Canis lupus familiaris: one gene and its partners. The protein of the gene in region 7 interacts with the protein of the main gene of each other region in a pairwise test. Links are inferred from orthologs where the notes say so. Each region holds a gene or a part of one and is shown on either strand. Other genes may lie near its edges. The genes, in order: FEZ1, RNF20, HOXC11, PPA2, SRRT, UBAC1 and HTT.

What was found.
Region 1: the proteins of HTT (region 7) and FEZ1 interact in binary tests that used the Homo sapiens proteins (3 or more experiments, as listed by UniProt). The link is inferred for Canis lupus familiaris from reciprocal best matches to the Homo sapiens genes HTT and FEZ1.
Region 2: the proteins of HTT (region 7) and RNF20 interact in binary tests that used the Homo sapiens proteins (3 or more experiments, as listed by UniProt). The link is inferred for Canis lupus familiaris from reciprocal best matches to the Homo sapiens genes HTT and RNF20.
Region 3: the proteins of HTT (region 7) and HOXC11 interact in binary tests that used the Homo sapiens proteins (3 or more experiments, as listed by UniProt). The link is inferred for Canis lupus familiaris from reciprocal best matches to the Homo sapiens genes HTT and HOXC11.
Region 4: the proteins of HTT (region 7) and PPA2 interact in binary tests that used the Homo sapiens proteins (3 or more experiments, as listed by UniProt). The link is inferred for Canis lupus familiaris from reciprocal best matches to the Homo sapiens genes HTT and PPA2.
Region 5: the proteins of HTT (region 7) and SRRT interact in binary tests that used the Homo sapiens proteins (3 or more experiments, as listed by UniProt). The link is inferred for Canis lupus familiaris from reciprocal best matches to the Homo sapiens genes HTT and SRRT.
Region 6: the proteins of HTT (region 7) and UBAC1 interact in binary tests that used the Homo sapiens proteins (3 or more experiments, as listed by UniProt). The link is inferred for Canis lupus familiaris from reciprocal best matches to the Homo sapiens genes HTT and UBAC1.

What each region holds. Positions count from the first base shown.
Region 1 is NC_049226.1:9,054,029-9,057,528, forward strand, and holds part of FEZ1 (fasciculation and elongation protein zeta-1), read left to right. Parts: coding exon 1-263; intron 264-1,121; coding exon 1,122-1,202; intron 1,203-2,296; coding exon 2,297-2,372; intron 2,373-3,500. UniProt on the Homo sapiens protein: May be involved in axonal outgrowth as component of the network of molecules that regulate cellular morphology and axon guidance machinery.
Region 2 is NC_049232.1:58,596,613-58,600,706, forward strand, and holds the start of RNF20 (E3 ubiquitin-protein ligase BRE1A), read left to right. Parts: upstream 1-1,294; 5' UTR 1,295-1,325; coding exon 1,326-1,417; intron 1,418-2,540; coding exon 2,541-2,613; intron 2,614-4,094. UniProt on the Homo sapiens protein: Component of the RNF20/40 E3 ubiquitin-protein ligase complex that mediates monoubiquitination of 'Lys-120' of histone H2B (H2BK120ub1).
Region 3 is NC_049248.1:45,362,697-45,366,353, forward strand, and holds HOXC11 (homeobox protein Hox-C11), read left to right. Parts: upstream 1-1,148; 5' UTR 1,149-1,155; coding exon 1,156-1,840; intron 1,841-2,297; exon of another isoform or gene 2,298-2,388; intron 2,389-2,916; coding exon 2,917-3,149; 3' UTR 3,150-3,157; downstream 3,158-3,657. UniProt on the Homo sapiens protein: Sequence-specific transcription factor which is part of a developmental regulatory system that provides cells with specific positional identities on the anterior-posterior axis. Binds to a promoter element of the lactase-phlorizin hydrolase gene.
Region 4 is NC_049253.1:13,629,372-13,632,871, forward strand, and holds part of PPA2 (inorganic pyrophosphatase 2, mitochondrial), read left to right. Parts: intron 1-134; coding exon 135-262; intron 263-3,034; coding exon 3,035-3,120; intron 3,121-3,500.
Region 5 is NC_049227.1:8,828,862-8,831,700, forward strand, and holds the end of SRRT (serrate RNA effector molecule homolog), read right to left. Parts: intron 2,542-2,839; coding exon 2,368-2,541; intron 2,278-2,367; coding exon 2,124-2,277; intron 1,839-2,123; coding exon 1,645-1,838; intron 1,481-1,644; coding exon 1,324-1,480; intron 1,142-1,323; coding exon 1,040-1,141; intron 923-1,039; coding exon 799-922; intron 698-798; coding exon 622-697; 3' UTR 501-621; downstream 1-500. Other genes in the region: UFSP1 (inactive Ufm1-specific protease 1), read left to right, coding at 1-337. UniProt on the Homo sapiens protein: Acts as a mediator between the cap-binding complex (CBC) and the primary microRNAs (miRNAs) processing machinery during cell proliferation.
Region 6 is NC_049230.1:49,424,990-49,429,197, forward strand, and holds the start of UBAC1 (ubiquitin-associated domain-containing protein 1), read left to right. Parts: upstream 1-1,408; 5' UTR 1,409-1,423; coding exon 1,424-1,603; intron 1,604-4,208.
Region 7 is NC_049224.1:61,750,089-61,754,039, reverse strand, and holds the start of HTT (huntingtin), read left to right. Parts: upstream 1-1,151; 5' UTR 1,152-1,290; coding exon 1,291-1,505; intron 1,506-3,951.

The DNA of each region.
Region 1 (3,500 bases), on a different chromosome or scaffold from region 7:
ACCTGTCGGGGTCGGAGCTGACCGAGCTGCTGGACCAGGTGGAGGGCGCCATCCGGGACTTCTCGGAGGAGCTGGTGCAGCAGCTGGCCCGCCGGGACGAGCTGGAGTTTGAGAAGGAGGTGAAGAACTCCTTCATCACGGTGCTCATCGAGGTTCAGAACAAGCAGAAGGAGCAGCGGGAGCTGATGAAGAAGAGGCGGAAAGAGAAAGGTCTGAGCCTGCAGAGCAGCCGGATAGAGAAGGGAAGCCAGATGCCTCTCAAGGTACGTGAGCCCCCAGCGGGGAGAGGGGGCGCGTGGGGCCCGGCACTGGCAAGACGGGGACCGAGCGGTGACTGCAAGCAGGACCCGGGCACGCACTAGGGCCCTGACGACGGAGAAGGCACCCCGTCTCCTTTACTCCCCTCGAGGACCTCGGTCTAGCTGGGGAGACGGGTCGCGGACATCGGAAAATCCTTGCCTGTGGCATGTGCTCCCGAGGCAAGCCCTTGGAAAGAGGGGTGATGAGCCCTGAGACTCGGGGTCAGAATCCCCCTGCTCCCAGTCCTGCCTCACCTCCTCCAGGTGTCGGTGGGGTGTCTCAGGATTGAAAACTCTGACGCCTTACTGGTATGTTGACAGGGTTCCAACCAGCGGTTCTCGGTCAGGGAGGCTCAGGGGAATCATCCAAGGAGCTTTTGCAAAATACCTTGGCCTGGGCCCTGTCCCAGACCTACTGATTCAGGCCGAGGCTTGTGCATTCTGGGAAAGGCTTCCCGGATAAGGACAGTAGCTCTGCGGACGTTGTGTTCTCCTCCCTAAGATGCTTGTGGCGTCATCTGCCCCAGGTGGACCATCCTGCTTTATTCTCTGTACACCTGGAAGCTGGAATGAGGAAACCAGGGATGTGCAGGGGCCACCCGCTGCCCTGAGGGATGACGGAGTTAAAGAGTCTTTGAGACTCAACAGCTGGTTCTTGCAAAGCTCAGGCTTCCGTGTTGGCCTATGTTTTAGACCGGGTGTTATCTGGGACCCGGTGGTAGCCGTGGGTCTGGGTAGCTTAGGGAGGACACCGAAGTCCCCAGGGGGTGATGACGATGGGGCGGGAAGCACTTGTTCTTGAGCACCCCCCACTCTCCGCAGCGCTTCAGCGTGGAAGGCATCTCCAACATTCTGCAGAGCGGCATCCGCCAGACCTTCGGCTCCTCAGGAACGGACAAACAGGTATGAGCAGTTCCCCGGCTCCCAGAAACCCTCTGGGCCCCTTGCCACCTGGCTTCCCCCGCAGAACGGGACGTGGCGATCCCCTGGGATTATCCCAGCCCTCGGGCAGAGAGGTCTTAGCACCTTCTTGCACTCTTAGGGAGGGACACACAGTGTCTTTTAAAGGGTGAACTTTTTTCTTTTTTTAATTTCTTTTTTGAGCGGCTGCCAAGCCCTCAGGTTCAAAGATGAGTGGGTCCTGGCCCTGCCCTCACCAAAGGGCGTAACCTGATAGAACAGGCATGTGCATAAATGGATGCGTTTGAGATCGTGGACTAAGTTACCTGGTTGTATGCGTGTGTTAGACACATTCATAGCTGGATCCTAAGGGCTGGCATTCTAGCACCGCAACATGGGAAGTGATTTGGGGAACATCTGGCCCAATTGCCACATTTTGCAGGGGTGAGAGCTAAGACCCCAGAGGGATTAGGTCTCCTCTCAAGGCCACACCTCGAGGGGCCAAACATATGTCTTTGGCCTTTGGGTCTGGGGCTCTTCACCCTCAGCCCCCCAGGGTCCCCCACAACCTCCAGGATCTCTCTGGTACCCTGTTCTGGGGGGGATGATCTATTTGTATAAGCACCTCATATCCAGCAGAGGGAGCAAACCCAACGTCCAAGACCGAGGGCGGGGTCGAGGTTCTCTCCCCTGTCATTTTTGACAAAAGGGAGACCCTTGGATTTCGTATCACCCGGCACAGGATAAGGAAGTACCATCTCCCCTTGAAATGTTCCCTGCGCTCAGCCTGAAGGAGGCACAGCTCACCAGGACTCCTAAATATCCCCAAGCTTCTAAGCATCCGAAGAGTGTATTGTATGGAAGGGAGGGCTAATAGGGTTAAGTCTTAGTTTTAGAGATGTCCCCCAGAGACAGGGAAGGGGTCCTAGGGGTCCTGAAGCAGCGCTGTGCAGAGGATCGTGGGTGTCACTGAGTGTCGCCTTCGGGGAGCATGTTTGTTAGGCAAAATCACAGTCCGCATGCGGATGGCCGACGGATCTTACCGCAGAGGGGCCGTGCTTGTGTCTGAAGGCCTGTGTGCCGTGTTTGTCTCGTAGTATCTGAACACGGTCATCCCTTACGAGAAGAAAGCCTTGCCCCCGTCGGTGGAAGATCTCCAGATGCTGACAAACAGTGAGTTCCTGTCATCCCCAGCGAGATGGGCTGCTCGTTTCCCTCCCTCCCTCCCTGCCTGCCTGCCTGCCCCGCTGCAAGAGGTACCCCTGGGGTCTGAGGCCTCAGGTTTCCCCAAGAGCAGCGTTAGCTGGGTCAGCCTGTGCATCACGTTCCCCTACAGGGGACAAAGCCAAAGTCCTCTGTAGTGGCACCCAGAGCTGTCTTGTTTGCTCCCTGGTTCCCTGTAAAGGGCAGAGCTTTGCCAGGAAGGAATGAGCTGGGGAGAGGGGTCGGCGGCAGGTGGGGGCAGGACTGGTGTGCAGGCCCTGGCTCCCCAGCAGGCCTCAAAGCCTCGCCTTCTCTGCCTTGTCTGTCCTTCTGGCGGCAACTTGAGGTTTGCTTTGTCCCACCTCATGGCCCCGCAGCAGGGGGCTTGGTCTGCATTTTTAAGGAGAAGCAAGGTTTCTTCTTCAGTGGCAGTGGCGGTGGCGGGTGAGTGAGCCTGATTGGAAAGAACAGTCTTCCTTCCAGGAACTGACTGCCTCCTCTTCTCTGCTCTATTGTCAAATATTAATCAACACCCTGAGCTACGGGAGGAACCAATGTGTGATAAAGAGCCTTTTGTAGGCAAAATCTCTTTACATACATCAAACACAACAACGCCCCAAGGGCTCGGGGCACATGGTATTAGCCATCAGTGTCAGCCTGCATCTTTTAGGAAGAGAAAAATCCTAGGCCGAGGTGGCGAGGTGGCGTGGCAGCTCAGTGAATCCCAAGAACGCCCATCTCCCTGGCAACCGAGTGCCTCACTGAGTGACATAGTAACCGGGCCACCCAGCCCAGCGTCACCCTGCCTCGGAGGCAGTGGCTTGAGCTGGGGGCCAGCGCAGGGCCACTGGATACCCCGGGGGGAGGAGGGGCAAGAGGAGTTTCTTCTGTTCAGCTGAGGATAGATACCTGCAAGTGTCCCCAAGCTCCCCGCCCCCCCCCCCCCCCCCCCCCCCGTGCTATAAAGGTGACCAAACATTTTCATTTTTATCAATTTGAAGAACCAAAGCAGGCGGTTCTGGTAAACAAACCCTGCCTACATCCAGGGATACCGCGTCCTTGAGAATCTGGAATTTTAAATTCAAAGTACATTGGCTT
Region 2 (4,094 bases), on a different chromosome or scaffold from region 7:
CTTCTGATCTCTGGAGAGTGTGGTGCCTGATACACATTGATTATAGGCATTCAACAGTGGGAAACTGTACAGTCATTTTTCATTCACTGAAAAGTTAGGTGCTAGGTACTAAGAGGCGGTGTTCCAAAATCACTGAGAGAGTTGTGATGGGTCACAGTCTGAGGCCAGACTTCCTGGAATTCACTCTCAGCACTAACACTTTCTAGCTGCATGGCTTATCCTCCCTGTGCCTCTTCTCCATGTTTATAAAATTTAATATGGTACCTACTTCATTGGGTTGTTGAGATGATAAAATGAAAGAGCCCCTGTTAAGGGTCGAAATGTTACCTTTAATATGTAAGTACTCCTCCATATATGTGAGCTATTAATAATAATTATTGGGCTAGGTATTATGACTATCATGGTGAATAAGATAGATACTGTCCTTGCTATTATGGAGTTGACAGATTCATTAGACTGTTCTACACCAGAAGCTTAGAGTAATGTTATATGTCCATTAGACATCAGAAGTTCACTATAATAAGTGTGGATCTAGATTAGGAGTCTGTATTCTGAAACTCAGCCATGGGGATATGGTGTTAAAATGCTACATTTGTATAGCTTATGAAACCACATCTCTTCCTTATTTGAATTAGGCTCAAGATGAAAGAGAAAATGGGAACATTCAGAGTAAATAGTTGATGAAGTGTCATTTCTGAGTCTGTCTGGGGTTCAACTACTCTGTACTGCTGCCAGGAGGTGATTTTGTCTTAACACTGAATCACGTTATGCATCCCAAGGACATTTGCTAATTCAGTAAATATAAATATTTGTTGAACATCTGTTATTTCTAAATACTATGCTTTACACTGAAGACAACCCCTGGACTTCAGTTTGTTAAGATGGCACTGCCAAGAGACCAGACTGTTCTAATATTTATGAGTGGGAGATGTGATGTTCATAGGGATAAATAGCCATAGGCTCTAAGGGAAGCAGACAGGATTCATCCCAGTTTGGACATTATCCACAAGTCATTAGAAGGTCTTAAGCAGGAGAGTAACATGCTCTGACTTCTGCTTGGAGAATAGATTATAGAGGAGCAAGATTTAGAGGTTGAAACGTTAGCAAAATTGTTCCCTTGTTCCTTCGCCCTCTTCTCCTTCCCATTATGGGTGGGGAGTTGGGACATATCTCCACTGATTCCTGCCCCAGTTGGTTGAAGGTTGCCTTTATAGGCAATATCTCTTCTTCTGCACTTCAAGGTTGCTGTAGTGAGCCAGCTGAGATTGTGGAACAAAAGTTGAAAAGATTCCAGGTGGCTTGAGGTGGGAACACTGCCTGTATGAATGGAGCTGTCCACCACGGCTGTGCTGAAGTCTGGGAGACTGACAGGACATGGCATGGGGAACAAAAGTGTCCACTACAGGAGACTGTTGCAGTAATCTTTTTTATTTATTATTTTTTTATTGGAGTTCAATTTGCCAACACATTGCAGTAATCTTGATGAGGGATCATGGTTGCATGGGTCACCCTGGAGGTAGTGTTGACAAGATTTGCTGGTGGAGTGGATGAAGTTTATGAAATCCCCAAATTTGTAAGTATAGACTGTCCACTTACTGAGCTAGGGAGAAGTAGGAGAGGAACATACTTTTTGGGAAGCTGTGGAGGATGAATCAGGAATTTGATTTTTGACATGCAAGTTTGGGATACTTATTAAACATCTGAGTGGGTAGGTGGTTGAATACTATAATCTGCAGTCTGAGGAGAGGTCGGGGTAACGCTGTACATTTGGGAGGAGGTATTTAAATCCATGAGACTAGAGGCTCTAAGCGAGTGTAGATACAGAAGAGGTTTGATTGAGAACAGAACCCTGAAGCGCTGTGATGTTTTCATTTCAAAGAGATGCAAAGAGACAGAAAATGAAGTAGATGGAGAACAAGAGTGACTGGGGGCCCAGAAGTCAAATGAAGAGAGTTTCAGGAAGGAGTTGTTCAGGTGCTGCTGATGGTTTGAGTAGGGGGAGCATTGAGACATTTGGTTTAGCAGTGGAAGGTTCTCGGGAGCCTTGATAACTGTGTTTATGGAGTGGTAGTGCTAGAAGTCTGATTGGAGTGAGCTGAAGAGAATAGGAGAGGAGAGGAATTAGAGAAAAGAGGGTAGAGACCGTGCTTTGCAGGAGTATTGATGACTTTGTCTTTGCAAGACAAAGAAATGGGGCATTAGCCACAGGGAAATGTGGGGTTTAGGGAAAGTGGTTTTGTTTTGTTTTTACGATAGGAGCTATTACAGCAGGTTGATTGAAATTATTTGGTAGAGATGATAAAGTTGATGAGGTAGTAGAAAGAGGAGATGGTTGCTGGTGTGAATTTCATGAATAGGGGAGAGAGCATGGCATGTAACATACAAGTGGGGAATTGGTTTTAACTGGGAGCAGGGGCAGTTGATCCATAGCAACAAAGAGGAACACAGTGATATGAGTTCAGTTGTAGGTAGGTCAGTAGTTGCAGTTATGAGAGATAGATGTGGACATTCTCTCCTGATTGCTTCTATTTCTTTTTCAGTGAAATCAGAGGCGACTCATCTGAGAGTGAGGATGGGGGAGGAAGTGTTGGAGGTTTGAAGAGACAGGAGAAGGTATGAAGTAGTCATCTTGAAGAGGGAATGGACTAGAGAGATCGAGTATTGTTGCTGGGCAGCACTGAGGACCTACCTGACTCTGTGATCATGAGATAAAGTGAGCCCAGGCAGCACGGTACTTTGTTTTGTGGTCACATTCAGCTGCATGGATGTAGGCCTGGAGTAGTGGAGAGGTGGATGATACCACGGGTGGGGTTTTTACCAGGTAGGTGTGGAGAAGGAGCAAGGAAGGAAGAGGTTCTAAAAGGAGATGATTATGACTGATCATGGAATTCAAGTTCAAGAAAGAAAGGGAGTGAGGAAGTGAGAGGAGTGAAGGATGGGAAAGATAGAGGACCAATGATTGTAGGTGCTGGAGAAAGTGAAGAATTGGAGGAATCAGGGAACCCGAGAGAATGAGCTGGACAAGTAGGTGGTAATTGTGGAAAATGGGGTGTTTGAAATTCAGCTTATAGAGAGCATACACGTACAGCTCAGGCTAAGAATAAGAATAACAGAGTTTGGTGGCTGAGGGAGGTAGAGGACAATATCATTGGAGGAAAGGAAGTCAACGACTTGAGGATTTGAGATACAGGAAAGATCATCTATATGGGAATTGTAATCAGTAAGAACCGTGATAGTAGTAGCATTGGAGAGTGATAAGCTAGGTACTAAATCTTAAGGAAACATGGGGAAGTAATCGGCACATTTATAGACCAGTGCAGGAAGGCAGGGTGGCAGGAGGATGCCTGCCTGTTTCTGGCCCAGGGCAGTGCTGGAGAAATGTGCAGGGAAACCGTATTCTCATCCTGGTTTCAGTTAGAGCAAGAAGGGGAAAGGAGGGCTCAGAGAAGAGGTTAAGGATATCTTTTATTAATGGTATTAATAACTATACGTTTGGAACTATTGACTAATTTGGCATATCAAGTGTTTTAACACTGGAAGAAGGAGAATAAAATGGAAGAAGGAGAATAAAAGCAAAACAGGATATTGGTGCTCTAATAAACAGTGCTTACTTTAAAATATTCATGAACTTCGAGGTAAAGTAAAAGTGTAATCCTTTCCAATCCTTTGTTTCTGTGCCAGGGTTCTCCCTCCCTGACCTCTACCTCCCAACTTGTCCTAGGGAAGAGGTTAGGGTGAAAAGTTAAAGATACTGAGAGAGGTGTGGAATTACTGATGGAGTGATATTTTTGCAGAAACAGAAGGGAATGAGATCCTGAGCACAAGTTGAGGTCAAGTATGGAAGATAGTGGAGATAGAAGGGATTGACAAGGAAAAAGGAGAGAATTAAAATCCTGGAAGATCTAGATGAGGATTGGTATATGGGGATAAGGGCACAAGGTATCTGGAAAGATAAGATTTTATTCAAGGAATTTAAGGTCTCAGTTGTGACAGAGTTACAGATAATGACAGAAGTCCAAGATATGGCCTTTGAAATGTGTGGCTGAAGCACAATGGGGGAGATACTCACTAGAGTTAAGGAATTCAGAATGCAG
Region 3 (3,657 bases), on a different chromosome or scaffold from region 7:
ACCCCCTCCCTTCATATACTTCCTGAACCCTGACTCTGGGCATCTTTTCAGCCCCCAAGCTGAGGCTTGAGCCCCCAACCCAAAGGACCCCCCGGACAGAGAGAATACATGGCTCTCATTCTGATCTTTATCTGTGGGGTTTGAGATTTAAAAATCCACAGTGGATGTAGCTTTCTGCACATTGATTGACAATAAAGGCAGGCATGAAATATTCACCCAGGGCCACTCTCTCATACTAAATATTTAACACAACATTAGAGAAGGTTTTTCCCAGACTTCGCCAGGCACCGGCTGGGCGGCTGGCGCACTGCTTACCACTCGTTTATGACTAATCTGAGTCCCTAGCCGCAGGCAGCACAGCAAGCCAGACAAAGTTGGGACACTTGGCTTGCTGCTGGGCTGCCTCACCTTTGGAAAACTTCACACACTCTTCTGAGGAGTCTCTCCAAAAGAGAAAAAGGAGTCTTGACATACAGCCCTGGCCAAGAAAAGGATGGACTTCTTCAAACTCTTGTAAACAGGCACTGGCCCTCTGCGGGTTGGCGGGGTAAGAGTCCCTGAGAGTTGAGGGGGAAGGATTCACATCTCCGGCTGAACCAGGCGGTGGGGAAGGAGGACTTCATCCCCACCTCGGTCTTGGGTTCATCTCCCGGAGGAGGCAAGACCCCCCCACCTGCAGACGTGGGCAAGACCCACCTCCTACTCCTAATCCTGGGGTGAGGGTGGGGGGAGAAGAGGAAGAGCAGCAGCTAGGGGAAAAAAAAATACAATTACCCCCTCCCAGCCACCGCCCCCGCCCATCCCACCGCCCACCCCACCCCAACCCTCTCTCTCTCTCTCCTCCTTTGCTCGCTCTGTGGAATGGAGAGGAGGGGAGTGACGAGAGAAAAACGAATACAAATCTGCAATTGATTTTCATAATGTTTCTGCGGTGTTTGCAAACCAATCGCCTGAACGTCCCCATCTTACCTAAGAGAGAACCCCTCCTACGTCTGCGAAGTGCTCCGAACTGATATATGACAATATCTACTTTGGATCACGTGCTCGGGGAGAGAGACTAAGACGGATAACGCGTCATCTCGCCTTCCCAAAATTTTCCCCCCTCGCCAGATCGGGTCCAAAACCTCCATCTGGAGCCGGCAGGAGAGGAGAACGATGTTTAACTCGGTCAACCTGGGCAACTTCTGCTCGCCGTCGCGCAAGGAGAGGGGCGCTGATTTCGGCGAGCGAGGGAGCTGCGCCTCCAACCTCTATCTGCCCAGTTGCACTTACTACGTGCCCGAGTTCTCCACGGTCTCCTCCTTCCTGCCCCAGGCCCCCTCTCGCCAGCTCTCCTACCCCTACTCCGCCCAGGTGCCCCCGGTCCGCGAGGTCTCCTACGGCCTGGAGCCCTCCGGCAAGTGGCACCCCCGGAACAGCTACTCCTCCTGCTATGCGGCGGCCGACGAGCTCATGCACCGCGAGTGCCTGCCTCCTTCCACGGTCACCGAGATCCTCATGAAAAACGAAGGCTCCTACGGCGGCCACCACCACCCCAGCGCCCCGCACGCGGCCCCCGCCGGCTTCTACTCCTCGGTCAGCAAGAACAGCGTCCTGCCCCAAGCCTTCGACCGCTTCTTCGACAACGCCTACTGCGGCGGCGGCGACGCGCCCGCCGAGCCCCCCTGCCCCGGCAAGGGCGAGGCCAAGGGGGAGCCCGAGGCGACCCCGGCCTCGGGACTGGCGCCCCGGGCGGACGCGGGGGCCGAGGCCGAGGCCGAGGAGGAGAGCACGAACCCCAGCTCGTCCGGTTCAGCCCACTCGGCGGCGGCCAAGGAGCCGGCCAAGGGAGCCGCCCCCAGTAGGTAGCGGCGGCCGGGCGGGCGCGGGGAGGGGGGAGGCGCGGGGAGCGGGGAGCGCGGAGCGCGGAGCGGGGCGGCCTCGTGTTTTGGGTCAGTCCGGTTTTATGTGGAGTTTTATAAGCATTCAAAGGATTTTATTATAACCTACAAAGCCCTCTCTCCCAACGACTCGACTTTTTACGATGGAGAAGGGGTGGGGAGGGAGGGAAAAGGGCGCTTTGGAAAAGCCGGGTGAATGAGCCCCCCCCCCTTCCCCGCTATCTCTCCCTCGGTCTGTGAAATTTTTTAAAAGCGCCACCATCGCGAGCGATATTAACTTTGATCGTGAACTTAGAGGAGCGTTGAAGGAAGGATGGGGAGCCGGGCTGCCGGGGGTGGGGTGGGACGGAGGGGAGGGGTGGAGGGGGAGGAAGGGGAGGGCGAGGGAGAGACGGGGAGAAACTCGGAGAGGGGGAGTGGTGGTGGGGGGAGAAGCAATGGAGCAGAACCTGAGACCGGGGCGGCTGGGCTGCTCTGAAAAGCTGCTTTTTTTTGCAACGGGCCGAGGGTGCGTTCCGGGGCCCGCGCGGAGCCCCCCGGGGCGACGGGGAGGGGGGCGCTGGGGAGAGGCGGCTGCGGCCCGGCCCGGGGCTCAGCCTCCCCGCGCCCCGCGGCCTCGCGGCGCCGGCCCAGCCCGGGAGCGTGGAAGGCGCGGCCCGCCGGGCTCCGGGGCCCCGCGCGCGGCTCTCGGGAGGCCTCGGTGCCTGCGCGCTCGGCCCGCGCGCCCCTCTCCACTGCGCCCCGCAAAGCCGGGGCGGGGGCTCCCAGCGCCCCCGGGAGGCCGCGCAGCGCCGGGCCGAGCCCCAAGGCGCACCTGGCCGGCGCCCCCCCGCGCCCCGGGGCCCGGGGAGGGGCGGCGACCCCGCGGGCCCGGCCGGCGGGGGGTCCGGGGCCTGCGCCAGCCCCGGGCCCGGGCGCCGTCTGCAGGCAGGCCCGGCGGGAGGGCGGCCGCGGCGGGCTGGGAGCGGGGCGGCCCGGGTCTCACGTGTCTCTCTCCCCTCTCCTCGCATCGCCCCCTCCCCTCCCTCCCCTCCAGACGCCCCCCGCACCCGCAAGAAGCGCTGCCCCTATTCGAAATTCCAGATCCGGGAACTGGAGCGAGAGTTTTTCTTCAACGTGTATATCAACAAAGAGAAGCGGCTGCAGCTGTCCCGGATGCTGAACCTGACGGACCGACAAGTGAAAATTTGGTTTCAGAACAGAAGGATGAAAGAAAAAAAACTGAGCAGAGACCGGCTGCAGTATTTCTCGGGAAATCCTCTGCTGTAACCGCAGACCGGGCCCTTCTGGGGGCGGGGGCCGGGTGGGGTGGGGGGGAAGAAAGGGGAGAAATTATTTTATTTTATTTTTATTTTTTATTTTCTAACTCGCCTTCTTTCCGCGGGTGGAAAACTGGACTGTGGCCAGGGCTGGCCCCCACTGCTGGCGCCCGCGCTTCTCTCTGGAACCTCCTTCACCTTCCATCCGACTCGCTGTGGGACAGGGACGGGCCTGGAAAGAGGGTGAAGGGAAGTGTCTAACCCACGGCGAGTGGACGTGGTTGGCGCCAAGGCCAAGACTCTTTATTTAAAAAGAAAACACACCTCGCGACACTGTCTTGCTGCTCGGGTTGGGCGGGGGCGAGGGTAGTGGGTGCCTGAGCGAGCAATCCTGGGACCGAAAGCCTTCCCTTGCCCAGTGAGAAGATCTCTGCTAAGACACGGTGTCTGCCAGGGGGGACTTCCTGGGCTCCCCACCCCTGCCCCACCTACCCCCCGCTGCTGGGGGGCAGCTAAAT
Region 4 (3,500 bases), on a different chromosome or scaffold from region 7:
GTCCAGAGGTGATACATGTTGATTATTATGCTGCAAGTTAGCCATAAAGGTGGACTCCCTCAGTCCAGTGTTCTACCATTAATAAGAATGAATTTCAGTTTTTAACAGAAAGTATCTTGTTCCTTCACTTGCAGATATTGATGATGTTAAGAAGTACAAACCAGGTTACTTGGAAGCTACGCTTAATTGGTTTAGATTTTATAAGGTGCCAGAAGGAAAACCAGAAAACCAGTTTGCTTTTAATGGAGAATTCAAAAACAAGGTAAAGATAATGATCTTTATTATAAAACGTGCCTTGTGATGATTCTTTGATACTTTAGGTTTGCGAGGCTTTCTTAGGTGAATATTTGTATATAACATAACAAAAGTGCTTTATAGTGACTCTAAAGACATTATTTTACCTTGTGGTGCTTGTATGATACTTGAAGTTTGTGAGAGTTTCTTATGTGAGTATTTGTATATAACATGGTAACAAAAGTGCTTTATACTGACTAATATGTAAGGGCATTATTTTATCATATTTATTTAAAAGGATTTTTTTTCAGGAGATGTAAGTGAATCAGTAACACTTGATACATATGTGTATTCATCTCTTTATTGATATCTCCTTCATCTCAGAAAATGAAGGATTTCTATCATCAGTCTAACTGCAAATTGTGTATGAAGAAGAACCTTCCATTTACTATTCTAGACAGGAGAAAGTTACTTACCATAATGTAAATCCAAAGAGGGCTTCCCCCTTAAGTGTACATTCTACCATTTCTGACTTAAGCTGTTTAACAATTAGGAAAGCACTTGAATTATGTTACTGTCATAGGATTTTTCTATTAGAATACTACAAAATTACCATGAAGTGTTCTAATGTGACACAAATGGAGAAAATGGGCCAAAAACGTCAAGTCTAAGGCATAGAATATTTTTTTAAAAAGATTTTATTTATTCATGATAGAGACACAGAGAGAGAGGGGGGCAGAGACACAGGCAGAGGGAGAAGCAGGCTCCATGCAGGGAGCCCGACATGGGACTTGATCCCAGGTCTCCAGGATTATGCCCTGGGCCAAAGGCAGGTGCTAAACCACTGAGCCACCCAGGGATCCCTGACATAGAATATTTTTTAAAAAATTATCACCACTATATAAATTACGTTATGTATACCCCAACATTTAAGTGGGTACTCGTAAGTAACATATGTTTTGTAAATAAAATGAGTCATGTTAATGGAAACTTACAAGTTATAATAAATATTTTGCTATATAAGAATTTATTGCTTGACTTAGTATTTTTGAAAAGGCACATTAAAAGAAGCCTTAAGATTTTGAGGGGTTTGTCTAAGATTTATTCAATGTGGTTATAAAACTCTTATTTTCGATTGGATACTCTTACTTAAAAGTAAAATATTGAAAATTTATAAGATAAATTGTATTTTTATCTTTTTTTTCCTGTAAAAAATGTTGTATTTTATATTTGAGCTCTTTCTGCCTCAGGATATGATTGCTAAATCATGAATTTATAGAGTCAGGTGGTTTAGGAGTTGCTGGATTTTGTTTTTTTTTTTTTTGCTTGGTTTTGATAAATATTAATTCTTTCTGAATGAAGACTAGATCATTTATACAACCTAATTTTTAGAGCATAATCATCTTATGCATTGCTTTTTACCACTTCTGTTTAAAATACAGTGCCTATCTCAGGAAAATTAAGTTGTATCTTTTCACCATGTTTGAAAAGATGATTCCCGTGCTATCTAGATTTTTCCTCCTGACCTCTTTAAGCAAGTACTGGGAAAGTGATTCTAAATAATCATAATTATCTGAATGATTTGGTTAAAAATATTTTCTTATATTATCTGGACAATATTGTCTTTTTTATCCCACATCTTGGCTGGGACTCCCCAACATGACCTCACTGAGCCATACTTGTTCATCTCAAGCAACTAGAGAGCTGAGAGAGCTTTTTTTTCAGCAGTAAATTTCTCATTATTATTACATCTTGGTTCCTTTGGAACCAAGGATTTTCTTCACTTCTTAGCATGTGTTGTCAAGGAGAAAGGAGGTAGTATGAATTAGTTAATATATAAGGACTCTTATTAAGGAAAATTAGAAAATTAGCAATCTTTGGAGGAAAAAAACAAAAGAATATACTGCTTTAATAAGTGTTCCTTTAGACAGACTTAAGAGGTATATATTGTTGATTTTGCATTTGGGGACATTATATGAATTTATACCAAGAAAATATTTGAAAATGATAAATGCCTTTAGACAGTGGATACTCTAAAATTATTATGCAGCTAGATTGCAGTTTTGATGATGATGAAATTAATAGGTTTATGCTTACTTACAGGCAAGGGACTAGCCTAAGCACTTTGCATACAGCTTATCCTTTCAACAACTGGATAATTTATTTATTTTAAAAATTTTGTTTATTCATGAGAGACACAGTGAGAGAGGCAGAGACATAGGCAGAGGGAGAAGCAGGCTCCTTGAGGGGAGCCCCATATAGGACTCAATCCCAGGACTCTGGAACCATACCCTGAGCTGAAGGCAGACGCTTCACCAACCAGACATCCCTCAACTGCTGGATAACTTAAATCAGGTGTTGGCAACTTTTTCTGTAAAGTACTAGATAGTAAATATTTTAGACTTTGTAGGCCATATGGTCTCTGTCACAACTACTCACCTCTGCCATTATAGTGCTAAAGCAGTCATAGGCTGTGCACAAATGATTGGGCATGATTGTGTTCAGTGAACTTTATTTACAAAAATTGGTGGTGAGTTAGATTTGGCCTACAGGCCCTAGTTTGACAATCCCAACTATAAATTATCTTCATTACCTTCTATTTGTAGATAAAGAAGTTAAGACTTAGGGAGATTAAGTAATTTGCTCAAAAATCACAGCTGGTAAATAAGGGTGCCAGAATTTATACTCAGGTTTGCCTGACTCCAGAGCTCATGTTCTTAAAAATAAGGTGTCATAGTGAGAGTAGTTCCATGTTAGTATAATGATGTGATCTTTATGTCCGTTTTTGGTTTGGAACTAGGCTTTTGCTCTTGATGTTATTAAATCTACTCATGAATGCTGGAAAGCATTGCTTATGAAGAAGTGTGATGGAGGAGCTATAAAGTGGTAAGAATTTGTCTTTTCTATGTGATGTTACTTTGTTATTAATGCCACTAGACAGCCGTATTACACTAGTCAGATCTGATTTTTTAAAAAGAGAATTGCAGTTTTTTTTCCGTTAAAAAAAAAAACTTACAGAGTGCCAATATGGAAAGTAATACCAAGTGCTGCACACTATGAAACTAGGAATTGGCATAGTCCCATTTCCCAAGGGATTTATAGTTTAGTAGGGGATACTGTTGAGTAAAAAGACATTTTAATTATAATACACTGTGATATGTGCAAAGATGGAGTAGAAAAATTAGCATTTTTTAATATGCTATATGTAAACATAGTTATTTTAATTATGTGTAACTACCACTTCATTTCTTAACAAAATAGTAATA
Region 5 (2,839 bases), on a different chromosome or scaffold from region 7:
GGGGCGCCTGTGTCACATACCCCGTGGAGCAGGGCTTCAGGGAGAACTGGAGAAGCTCTACTCCCACTTCGCAGGGGGTGGGGGGCCTGTGATGGTTGGGGGAGATGCAGATGCACAATCCAAGGCCTTGCTGGGAGTCTGCCTGGGACCAGGCACGGAAGCCTATGTTCTGGTATTGGACCCTCACTTCTGGGGTGATCCAAAAAATCCCAGTGAACTACAGGCGGGTGGCTGGGTGGGATGGAGAGAAGTGGGCACAGCCTTTGACCCCAACTCCTTCTACAACCTGTGTTTGACGAGCCGCAACTCCCAACATCAACAGCATGCCCTGGACTGAGACTAGGGTCCCAGAACAGAGATAGTCTCTGGCCCCGAACACACTCACCTATCCCCTTTTCTCAAAGATAAAAAAGCTTGCCTGGGCCCTTGGAATCAATAAAGTGGTGAAGCTCATAATCATGGCCCCAGCCAATCTTTGGGAGAATTTGGGGAGGTATAAATCAATCACTATGGAAGTGCTTTTATTGGCAGTAGGGTTGGACGTACAAAAAAATTCTCAGCTGGATGGGATGAGGCAGTCACAATTCTAGACGATACCAGGAGTGAGGAAAAGTAAATGGCTCAAAAGAAGTCCACATCATCTGGAGCATCCAGGTCACGGTATTCCACGATGGCCCGTGGGTCTCCTCGGACCATCCTGTGAGATACAAAAGAGTTAAGATGGGAGGAGAGTTAAGGCTCTCTGAATGGGAGCCTGAAGGGGGCAAGGAAAGTCTGAACATCTTAGCTCATTCTCACCTATTCCGAGGCTTCCCAGGATAACCTTGACCTCGGAAGGCATCATAGTTCCCTCGGCCAGCACCATAGGGGGCATGAGGGTATGGAGGCCCTCCCGTGGGGACTGCAGGGCGTACAGCACCAGCTATGAAAGAGATCAGTGTTGAGCTGAAACCTGTGACCTCAATTCTACCTGGGTTCAGCTTCCTTTCTCCCAGCCCTCAGTCACTACTAAGCCCTTTCACATCTCCCCTATACTTACCTCCATACCCCAAGATGGGGGGCCGGGGCTGACCATAGGGCATCAGGCCCTGGGGAGTCTGGTGCGGGTAGGGGAGTCCCGGGGTCAGGCCTGGGGGGAGTACAACATGGACAGGAACATGAATTACTGCGGGAGGGGGAGATGGGGAATGACAACTGGCTTTTAGAAACACTTCCTGAGAGTGGGATAGAAAGTTTTCAGAGAATCCCAGGATATAAGAACCAGGAGTCCTTCAATAGTCAAAGGAGAGGGAATGTGGCAGACCCTCATGGATCGTATCTTACTCTGGGCAGGGCCAGGTGGCTGGGCTGGCTTGATCTCAGGCAGAGCTGGGCGCTTGGCATCAGTGAGAAAGTTGTTAAAAAATGCCACTTCCTTCTTCACTTCCTCAATCTTCTCTGCATGCTTGTTGAAGATATGTTTGCGTACAAACTCAGGGCCCTGGGTAAAGAAAGAGGGTCAGAGCAGAGCAACCAATGTGGAAGGGATAATTAACCTCCCAGCCCACCATTTCCAGAGCCAATTTGACCCCAGGCCTGAGGAGGCTTCCTGGCTCAACCCCCTCCACCCACACTTCTAACACAGAACTCCCTAACATCCCAGACCTTGAATTTCTTGCCACTGAGAGGGCATAGCCACTTATCCTTGCCCAGTTCCTGGGTGTTAGAGGTGACAAACTTTTCCACTTCCTGCTCAGGGTCTTTGCGACCCATCTTCTGAGCCTCTTCCTCGGAAAGAGATTCCCGTACACTCAGCAATGGAGTCAGCTTCTCCTCAAACGTCTTCTGCCACTCTAGCACTGTGGTTTGGGAACACAGAACAGTGGGGTGGAGAAGGGAATTAGAAGCAAGAAACAAGGAAGGGATAAGGGGTGCCTGGCTGGCTCAGTCGGAGCATGTGACTCTTGATCTCAGGATTGTGAGTTTTAGCCCCACCTTGGGTTATAAAGATTACTTTAAATTCTAAGGAAAAAAAAAAAGAGAGGGTGGTTAAGGCACCGTTACCAGAACAGATCTAAGACCAGAGGCAGCTGAGAAGAAAGGGAAACCAAAGGGAATCAGAAATGGGGAAGCTGGGAGCCCACCTTCTCCATGACTGATGCGGTTGGGCGGCATAGGCCCCCGAACATGGATGATGCCACATCGGTTGGGCATTTCATCCTCATTGGGGTATTCGCAAGTGTTATAATAATCCAAGGAATGCACAATGCGCAAATAGAGAAGGAGTTTGTCCAAAACCTGAGGGAAATAAAAATCTGAGTTCACCATACTCTTCTAACCCCCTTGCTGCCCCAAGCCAGGGCCCTGCCCGCCTGCTCTTGCTGGTACCTTGATCAGTTTTTCATCTCGCTCCACATTGATCTCTGCTGGGTTCCCTTCCTTAGGGGGTTCCTCAGGGGGAGCCCCCCCACTGCTCCCCAGCAGCTCCTCCTCCTCCGCACTCACTTCTTCAATCAGATAGTCAGTGATATTCTTCAAGATTGGGTTCTGGGAGGGCAGACTCTGGTAGAGAGAAAGAAGAATGGCAAGTGAAGCAGAGAAAACTCTTGAGGCAGGTAGCCCAGGAAGCTAAAGCAGAAAGGAATCCAGGGTTCACTTGGCCTGTTAATACTGCTTCATTATTTATCTTTTATTTATTCTATCCTAGCCAATAAACCATAACTAATGTCAGTCCATTCTGTTGGAAGCTGGAGTATCTGCGCAGACACAGAGTATAAGAACTGGGGGTCAATGCTACAAGACATTGACAAGACCAGAGGTGCCTATCATAGACGATATGGTATTGGCTGCTTTTTAAAAA
Region 6 (4,208 bases), on a different chromosome or scaffold from region 7:
AAGCAGCAGCAGGGAGCTCAATTTCAATACTCCTTACCGAACCCCGTACACCCAGGCAGTTATTTCAAGATATAATCAATATAAAGACAACATCGAGCATTTGTCATCGCCTCGAACTCTTGGAGATCTGCCGCGTATCTCACACTTGGAGCCCGTCTCCGAACGGACCTCCAAACCCAAGGGCCCGCGTGCCAGCGGACCGAGCAGGGGCGGGATGGAGGCGCAGCAAGAGAACTACAGCTCCCGCCGTGCCCCCGGGCTCTCCCTGTGACGCATTCCGGCGCGGCGGCGGGTGCGCCGAGGCCGCCGGAGAACCACATCTCCCGGCATGCTCCGGTCGCGCTGTGACGCACTTCCGGCGCGGCGAAGGCAGCGCGCCCCCGGCAGCCCGGCGGCGGGAGCCAGGCTACCGCTCGGCCCGCGGCAAGTGTCGGGCGGCTGGCCTAGGGGAGCCGGGGCGGGGCGGCGGCGGCCAGCGGGGGAGCGCGCGGGCGGCCTGGCCCCGCCCCGGTGACCTTCACGGCCCGGGCGGCGGGCGCAGGCCCGGCGGCGGCGGCGCGATGTTCGTGCAGGAGGAGAAGATCTTCGCGGGCAAGGTGCTGCGGCTGCACATCTGCGCGTCCGACGGCGCCGAGTGGCTGGAGGAGGCGACCGAGGACACGTCGGTGGAGAAGCTCAAGGAGCGCTGCCTCAAGCACGTAAGGCCGCGCGGCGGCCCCAGGCCGGCCCCTCCGCCCCCCGCCCCCCGCCCCCTCCACACGCGCTCCCGGGTCGTGAGCTCCTGCAGCAGCCTGAGGGGTGGGGCAGGCCGGGAAACTGAGGCAGGGGCCGCGAAGGCGCCGCGCGGGCCAGCCTCGTGGCCCTCCAGCAGCTGCGCCGGCCGGCCCTGGGGGCGAGGCCCTGGAGGGCGGGGGATGGGCGCCCGGGGCGCAGAGAGGGGCCTGTCCGCTCAGGCCGGCCGTCCGGGGCTGCCCGCTGGCCTGCTGTCGGGGCCGGGGCCGGGGCCGGGGCCGGGGCCGGGGCGGGCCGCTCGCTCGGCCTCTCGGGGGCGGCCACCGAGCGGGGCGCACTGGCCGGGGCCTGCCCGCTGCCTGGGAGGCCGCCGCCTTTCAGGGTTTATTCGTGGGGAAGGCGCCTCGTTCGGGTAGCTCCGTGGGTTGCTCACTTTTGGAGCTAGTTCCTTGGCTTCATCTCCGGAAACTTTTCAGCCGGGGCGGGGAAGTGGCCCTTGGGACTCTGGCTCCCGAAGGGAACTGCACCTGGCGCGATGCAGTGTTCTTGTCAGCCTTTTAGTGCGGGTTCCACATGCTGAGTTTGGTATTTATACGGCTGACAGGTGTTTTGTTAAAGGAAGCGTCTGCTCCAAGGGTGAACTCCAGGTTACGGTAGTAACTACCCACGGAGATCGTTGGGGCCGTTGAGTATGGTTCTGAGGAGTCGTTGTGTAACCGTCCACTGCAGGCCAAAGAGCGTTCTGGTGGCCAGTGCAAGCCCCCTTCTGGAACGTGCTGGACATCAGGCAGCCACCGCTGTCTTGGACTCACGTCAAGGAGGAGGGGGCTCTGGGCTCACACCCTCAGGCAGGCATGCAGTCCTGTCTTGTGTCAGTGCTTTCCTCAGGTCCCAAACCCCCAGGACAGCACCCAGCCAGCCGGCAGTGGACTCCCTGAGCGTCCAGGCTGTTGGGGGGACCTCTCTGAGCGTCCAGGCTGTTGGGGGCCTCCCGAGTGTCCTGGATGTTGGGGGCCTCCCTGAGCATCTAGGCTGTGAGGGGGCCTCCCTGAGCGTCCAGGCTGTTGGGGGCCTCCCTGAGCGTCCAGGCTGTTGGGGGCCTCCCTGAGCATCTAGGCTGTGAGGGGGCCTCCCTGAGCGTCCAGGCTGTTGGGGGCCTCCCCGAGGGTCCAGGCTGTGAGGGGGACCTCCCTGAGCGTCCAGGCTGTTGGGGGCCTCCCCGAGGGTCCAGGCTGTGAGGGGGACCTCCCTGAGCGTCCAGGCTGTTGGGGGCCTCCCGAGTGTCCTGGATGTTGGGGGCCTTCCCTGAGTATCCAGGATGTTGGGGGCCTCCCTGAGCGTCCAGGCTGTGAGGGGGCCTCCCTGAGCGTCCAGGCTGTGAGGGGGCCTCCCTGAGTATCCAGGATGTTGGGGGCCTCCCTGAGCGTCCAGGCTGTGAGGGGGCCTCCCCGAGCGTCCAGGCTGTTGGGGGCCTCCCCGAGCGTCCAGGCTGTGAGGGGGCCTCCCTGAGCGTCCAGGCTGTTGGGGGCCTCCCTGAGCATCCAGGCTGTTGCGGGCCTCCTTGAGCGTCCAGGCTGTTGCGGGCCTCCTTGAGCATCCAGGCTGTTGGGGGCCTCCTTGAGCGTCCAGGCTGTTGGGGGCCTCCCTGAGCGTCCAGGCTGTTGGGGGCCTCTCTGAGCATCCAGGGTGTTGGGGGGCCTCCCCTAGTGTCCAGGCTGTTAGGGGGGCTCCCCGTGCATCCAGGCTGTTAGAGATACACACCGGTGCTGGTCTAGTGATGTACATTTAAACAAAACAAAACAAAACTGGAGTCCTGTGTCCCCTTCCTGTCTGGCCCATCAAGGACAGAAACTCCTCGAGGGCCCTCGGGGCCTGTGTTTGCATGTCTAGAGCCAGGCTCCCTGCAGGCCCCAAACAAACGTGTGGATTAATGGAATACATGGAGATGGAGTGTCAGTCTGGGACTGCGTGGACATGGCCTGACACCTGCTGAGTCAGGGAGGGAGAAGTCAGGGGGTAAATTGGGATGGCATTTAGCTTAACTCACTCATTTACATAGCTATCATAATATTATTTTATGAAGGGGAGCAGGAAATGAGAACTGTTTGACTGATCCGCAGATGCTTGCTAATGAATTTCAGGAGCTCTTGGGGTTCATTAGGCAGCCAATTTGAATAAGATGCTAATTATTATCTACCTGATATTTATTATTCCAGTCGGGATTGAGGTGTGTCGTTTGGGATTTTTCTGGCACTCTCCTCCTTTAAATTGAGATTTTATTCCACTCTGCAGTCTTTCCAGGTGTGGAGGAGCGGCATAAATCACAGGACCCGAGAGCTGAGCTGTCAGCAAGTATTCCCACGTCTGTGCCTGTGCTTCTGTAGGCAGCCAGAATGCATTAGTTAGGAAAGAGAATTCTCAAGGTGTATACTTGAATGTCACCCTGGAAACCATCCCCTGTATGTCCCGCTACTGCCGGCAGTGAGGCTCACTGCGTGCCCGGGCTTCTGTTCCTCCTCCTTGCTTTGCCCTGGTGCATGCTCGAGCTGGCAGGAATTTTCCCTTCTTCCGCGAAGGGGACAGTGTGGATTTCTTCCGTACCCCCTCCACCCCATTTCCACGGTCCTCTGGGGAGTTTGTTGCTTTATTAATGAGTGGTATTATCTTTATAACTCTTAGAGACATGGATTGTCTCTGTTTATTTTCTCTTTTTGGGTATTATTTATTTTTAAAGATTTTATTTATTCATGAGAGACACACAGAGAGAGGCAGAGACACAGGCAGAGGGAAAAGCAGGCTCCATGCAGGGAGCCAGATGTGGGACTTGATCCCCGGACTCCAGGATCACGCCCTGGGACGAAGGCGGCACTTAACCACAGAGCCACCCAGGGATCCCCTCTTTTTGGGTTTTTATATAAATTGGGATCTTTCATGAAATTGCTGCTGTGTAACGTGGCACCTGTTAATATGGCCGTTCACATTTCTTAGATCATATGACAGTGTGTCTTTGGACGACACATGATATCAAGTGTGAGCGGAACCACCTCCTGGCTCTTCTGGGGAGGAAGCAGGTTCAGGAGGGGTCAGAGCCTCCCTGCCCTGGTGATGGGCTTTGTTGGGGCTGTTTCGCTGCCGTATTTTAGCATGCTCAGAGTGCTTCTGCTGAGAACAAAGACACAGAATGAAGTAATTGTGCACAGTATGGATGACTCATGCTTGCGTTGTGCTCCTGGCACGGTGTTGACATGCTGCAGAGTACAGTTTTTTTTTTTTTTTCAGGAACCATATGAGGATTGTTTTGGAAAATTGTGTTTCATAGACTGTATTCTGAACTTGTCAAATCAACTAGCCTGCAAATTTCAGAATTAGAAGAAGCACACTGAGTAATTCTGGGAGCAGAGCCAGTGTTGAATTTAAGACGATTGACGATTTGCGGGGGGGGGCGGTGTCTGCTGTCATAAAAGGTAGGGAGTGCA
Region 7 (3,951 bases):
GAACTAGGCCCTCCAGGCTGGGGGCACATTCTCTGATGTCCTTTCCCTGAAGGGGGGGGGGTCCTGTCGTTCTCCCCTCAGGGGCAATGCTTCTGTGGTGCCGCTGGGCTTCCCTTTATCTGACCACTTGGGACAACTGACTGGCGGTGAGAGAAGGTGGAGTTGTGGCCTGTGGGCAGAGTGGGATCGGGAGGGTTCATAGTGCATGCATCAACCCCCGTCCCTTCTCCCCTCCCCAGGCAACTCTCTCTGGGGCCAACCCACTCCCTGCCAGGCAGGGTGCCCCCTGATGCGCCACCGCCCTCTGTGGTCCTCTGCTGGCTCACTTCCTCGCCTCCAAGGAGTGGGGCTCTGGAGCCCAGGACCCTTCTCAGAGCCTACCCACCCTAAGCAGGAGGTGCCCTGCAGACCTCTGTGGAGCAAGGGTCTTCTCCTCCAAGCGAACCCGTTAGGGTTGGGCCATCATTGCTATGCGTGGCGCCTCTGGGGTCTAAGTGGCTGCTCGTGGCACCAGCCACAGACTCTGCGGGCTGCAGGCACTGACCCGGCAGGTTTCTACCGGGTGCCTGTCCTAGGCCCTCCCCTCCCCTCCCCGCCTCGCCGTGCCTCACCCCCCGCCCTGTCACCTCTGCCCCGCCCCCTGCCCCCCCCCCATCCTCTGCCTGGCGCGCCCAGCCGTTCCCGCCCCAGGTGCCTCACCGCCGCGCCCCCTGCCACGCCCGCCCTCTTTGTCCCGCCCCCCGCCCGCCCCCGTCCTCTCTGCCCCGCCTCACTGCCCGCCCCCACCCTGCACCCTGTGCTTTGCCCCGCCTCCCACCCTGCGCCCTACCTCCTCCGCTCCGCCCCTCCCGCCGCAGGTGCTTCCCCGCCGCGTCCCCTGCCTCGTCCGCCCTCTTTGCCCCGCCCCGGCCCCGCCCCCATCCTCCGCCCCGCCGGGCCCCGCCCCGCCCCCACCGGAAAGTGGGGCTGTGATCTCAGCCGCGCGGCGGTGCTGGGAGCCGAGCGGGCGGGCGCGGGAGGGGCAGGCGGCGCTTAGGCCGGCGCTTAGGCCGGCCATTGGCAGAGGTCTCCGCCCCGGGCTGTCAATCCCGCCGCCCTGGCCCCGCCCCGCCGGCGCAGCGTCGAGAGACGCACGGCCGCGGGGGCTGCCGGGACGGGTCCAAGATGGCCGGGCTCCTTGGTTCCGCTCATGTCCGCGGCCTCGAGCCCCATTCATTGCCGCGTTGCTGAGCGCCGCCGCCGGTCGGCTCGAGGGCTCGGGGGGCTGTCCCCGCGGGACGGGAGGCCGCCATGGCGACCCTGGAAAAGCTGATGAAGGCCTTCGAGTCCCTCAAGTCCTTCCAGCAGCAGCAGCAACAGCAGCAGCAGCAGCCTCCGCCGCCGCCACCTCCTCAGCCTCCTCAGCCGCTGCCGCAGGCGCAGCCGCCGCTACCGCAGCCGCCCCCGCCGCCCCCGCCCCCGCCGCCCCCGGGCCCGGCGGTGGCCGAAGAGCCGCTGCACCGACCGTGAGTACCGCCTCGCGGCAGTTCCGGCCCCGCGACGGCGGGGGGCTGCGGCGCCCCTGCAGACCCCGGCCCCGCGGCTCCCCGAACCCCGGGCGCGCACCGCCGCCCGTCCTGCGGCCAGACCCGGCCCCGGGGGTGTCTGCGCCCCTCGGCAGGCGGACTCGGGCTCGCCGGCCGCCCCCGAGGGCACCGAGGCGGGCACGGCCTCGGCCCCCCGCCTTTCCCGGCGTGCGAAGTTAGGGGAGGAACTTGCTGCTTTGTATCTGCACGAAACGGGCTGTGCTGTGGGCAGAACTTGGATAGCCGAGGCCGCCGCTTCCCTTCCCCCTGGGCGTCCCTGAGAGGAAGGAGCGCGGGCGCCGGACACCCCGCCGCGAGCCGGGCTTGGGAGCGAGCGCGGGGGGTGGGGCGGGGGGAGAGCGGTGACATCATGCCTTCAGGCCGCGGGGGCGGGGAGGGCGCGGGAGTGCGGCCCCGGCGCCGCGGGGCTCTTCTCTGCGCCTCGAGGCTGCCTTCCCGCATCCTCCCGAGGCGTGTCCGCTGGCATCAGGAGGAGATCCGCTCGCGTGTCTAAGCTCAAGCTGGTTTGCAGACCCAAGGAAGTGGTGAGCTGCTTAGAAGGTCATTATTAGGAAGAGTCGCCTGAAGTTTATTGCCTGTGTTCACTTGGCAATAAAAACAACCCGTTGCCGAGAGGGAGGTTCAGCGCTGGGGGAGGAATGATGTGCATTACACCAGCTCGGAGTTCGGCTTGCCTGCGGTCCCTGTGGGTGGCTCCTGTTTCCTTCGCTGGAGACGCCTGCGTGCTACTGTTTGGAAGCTAGGGGTCTCTGCTGCTCGTGCCTGGAGACCGCTCCTGCCGGCGGAACCCAGGTACTTTCCCCGGGCTCCGTGAGCTCGGGAGTGCGGGAGTGCTCGGCGGCGGTCCGGGCCTCTCTCCCCCGGCGTCTGGGTTTGCCATCTGGATGCGTGGTGGCATTTAATGAGGACAGTTTCCAAGGGGCAGCCCCTTTATAATGTCACGTTCAATTTTAGTAGTGTTTTTTTATTCTTTGTGTTTCTGACGTGGTCCTTGCCATGTCTTGAGAGTTCAATTAGAAAATGACTTGGGGAGTGATGTTGACTTGGCTGTTAGGATAGACTTTAGAAGTAAATTAATTTTTCTTCTAAGAGGTGAAAAACCTGTTTGGATGCTTCGAGAAAAAAAATACTTAAAAAATAATTTGAGTTCTTTCTACATCAGGTAATTTATCATCATAATTCATCCCAGACTTTTATTGGACTGCCTCTCTCTAGGAGGTAGATGTCATGGAAGTTCACACATTGCATGGGTCTTGTATAACAGGAAGCGTTAAGGAGGGAGGGCTTTGGGTGGGAAGGGAGACCTTACTGCTGTCACTGTAGGCTTGTTCAAATACTTGGTCAGTCTAAAAATGTGCCATCTGTTTCTTACACTGATTTGACAGAATCTGAATTTGTTTATCTTCAAAATATGGGTATAAAGTAGGTTTTTTTTTTTTCTAAAACTGCCCTTGCAAAAGTAGATAGATGTTGTTTTATTACCCTATTTTAAGGTCATATGTGATTGACTTATTTAAAAAGCGTAATTTATTATTTTCATGTAAATAGTACACTCCCATGATGCAAATTCTTGAATTACAAAAATATAATAATTAAAATGTCTCTCTTCCGTCTGTTTCTCCTGAGTACCTAACTGTGTTCCCAGAGGCAAGCTCTCTTAAACTTCTTCCTTCTGTACCCTTACAGATAGAACCCATGGATACATGAAGAGAGATTTCGAGTTATTTAAAATAGAAATATTTCAGAGTAGTAACTTTTAAAGCTTCCTAGCATGCTCTGAAATCAACTACATTGATGGGCCTAATAGTAGTTATTTTAAATAAAATACATAAATATCATATTTGTAGGCACTTTGCTGTTGAGAAAGTAGAAATTTATGAATTTTGAGTAACAGACTCTGCTTACAAGTTTGGATCCTGGCATTTCTGTTCAGGTGCTTCAGCTGAAAAATCCATTCCCCAAAGCAGGATTGTCCAAAAATGATTTAGAAAGTATCTGTTCTATTTTTATGGTTCTCTTCTGTTGTGTGGAGCTGTAGTGTCACAGCCATGCGTGGGCTTTAGTGCCTGCTTGCTGCTCAGCATGTAGGATGCAGGGATGCTGGGGTTGTGGGAGGGGACCGGCTAGAATCTCAGCAGGGCTGGCATGCAGGGGAGTGCCAGAGGTGGGGACGGTCCTAACTCTATTATGAGATAGTTGACATTTGTGTTTAGTGCTTTTCTTACTGTCCTTCAGATTCCCACCTGGTTTCCACCTGACTTTAGTTATTCATCCATCGATAAATATTTACTGAGCATCTAATGTATGCCTCTGTGCTAATAGTTGCAGGGCTGCAGCAATCAACAGATAAAGCTCTGCCCTTGTG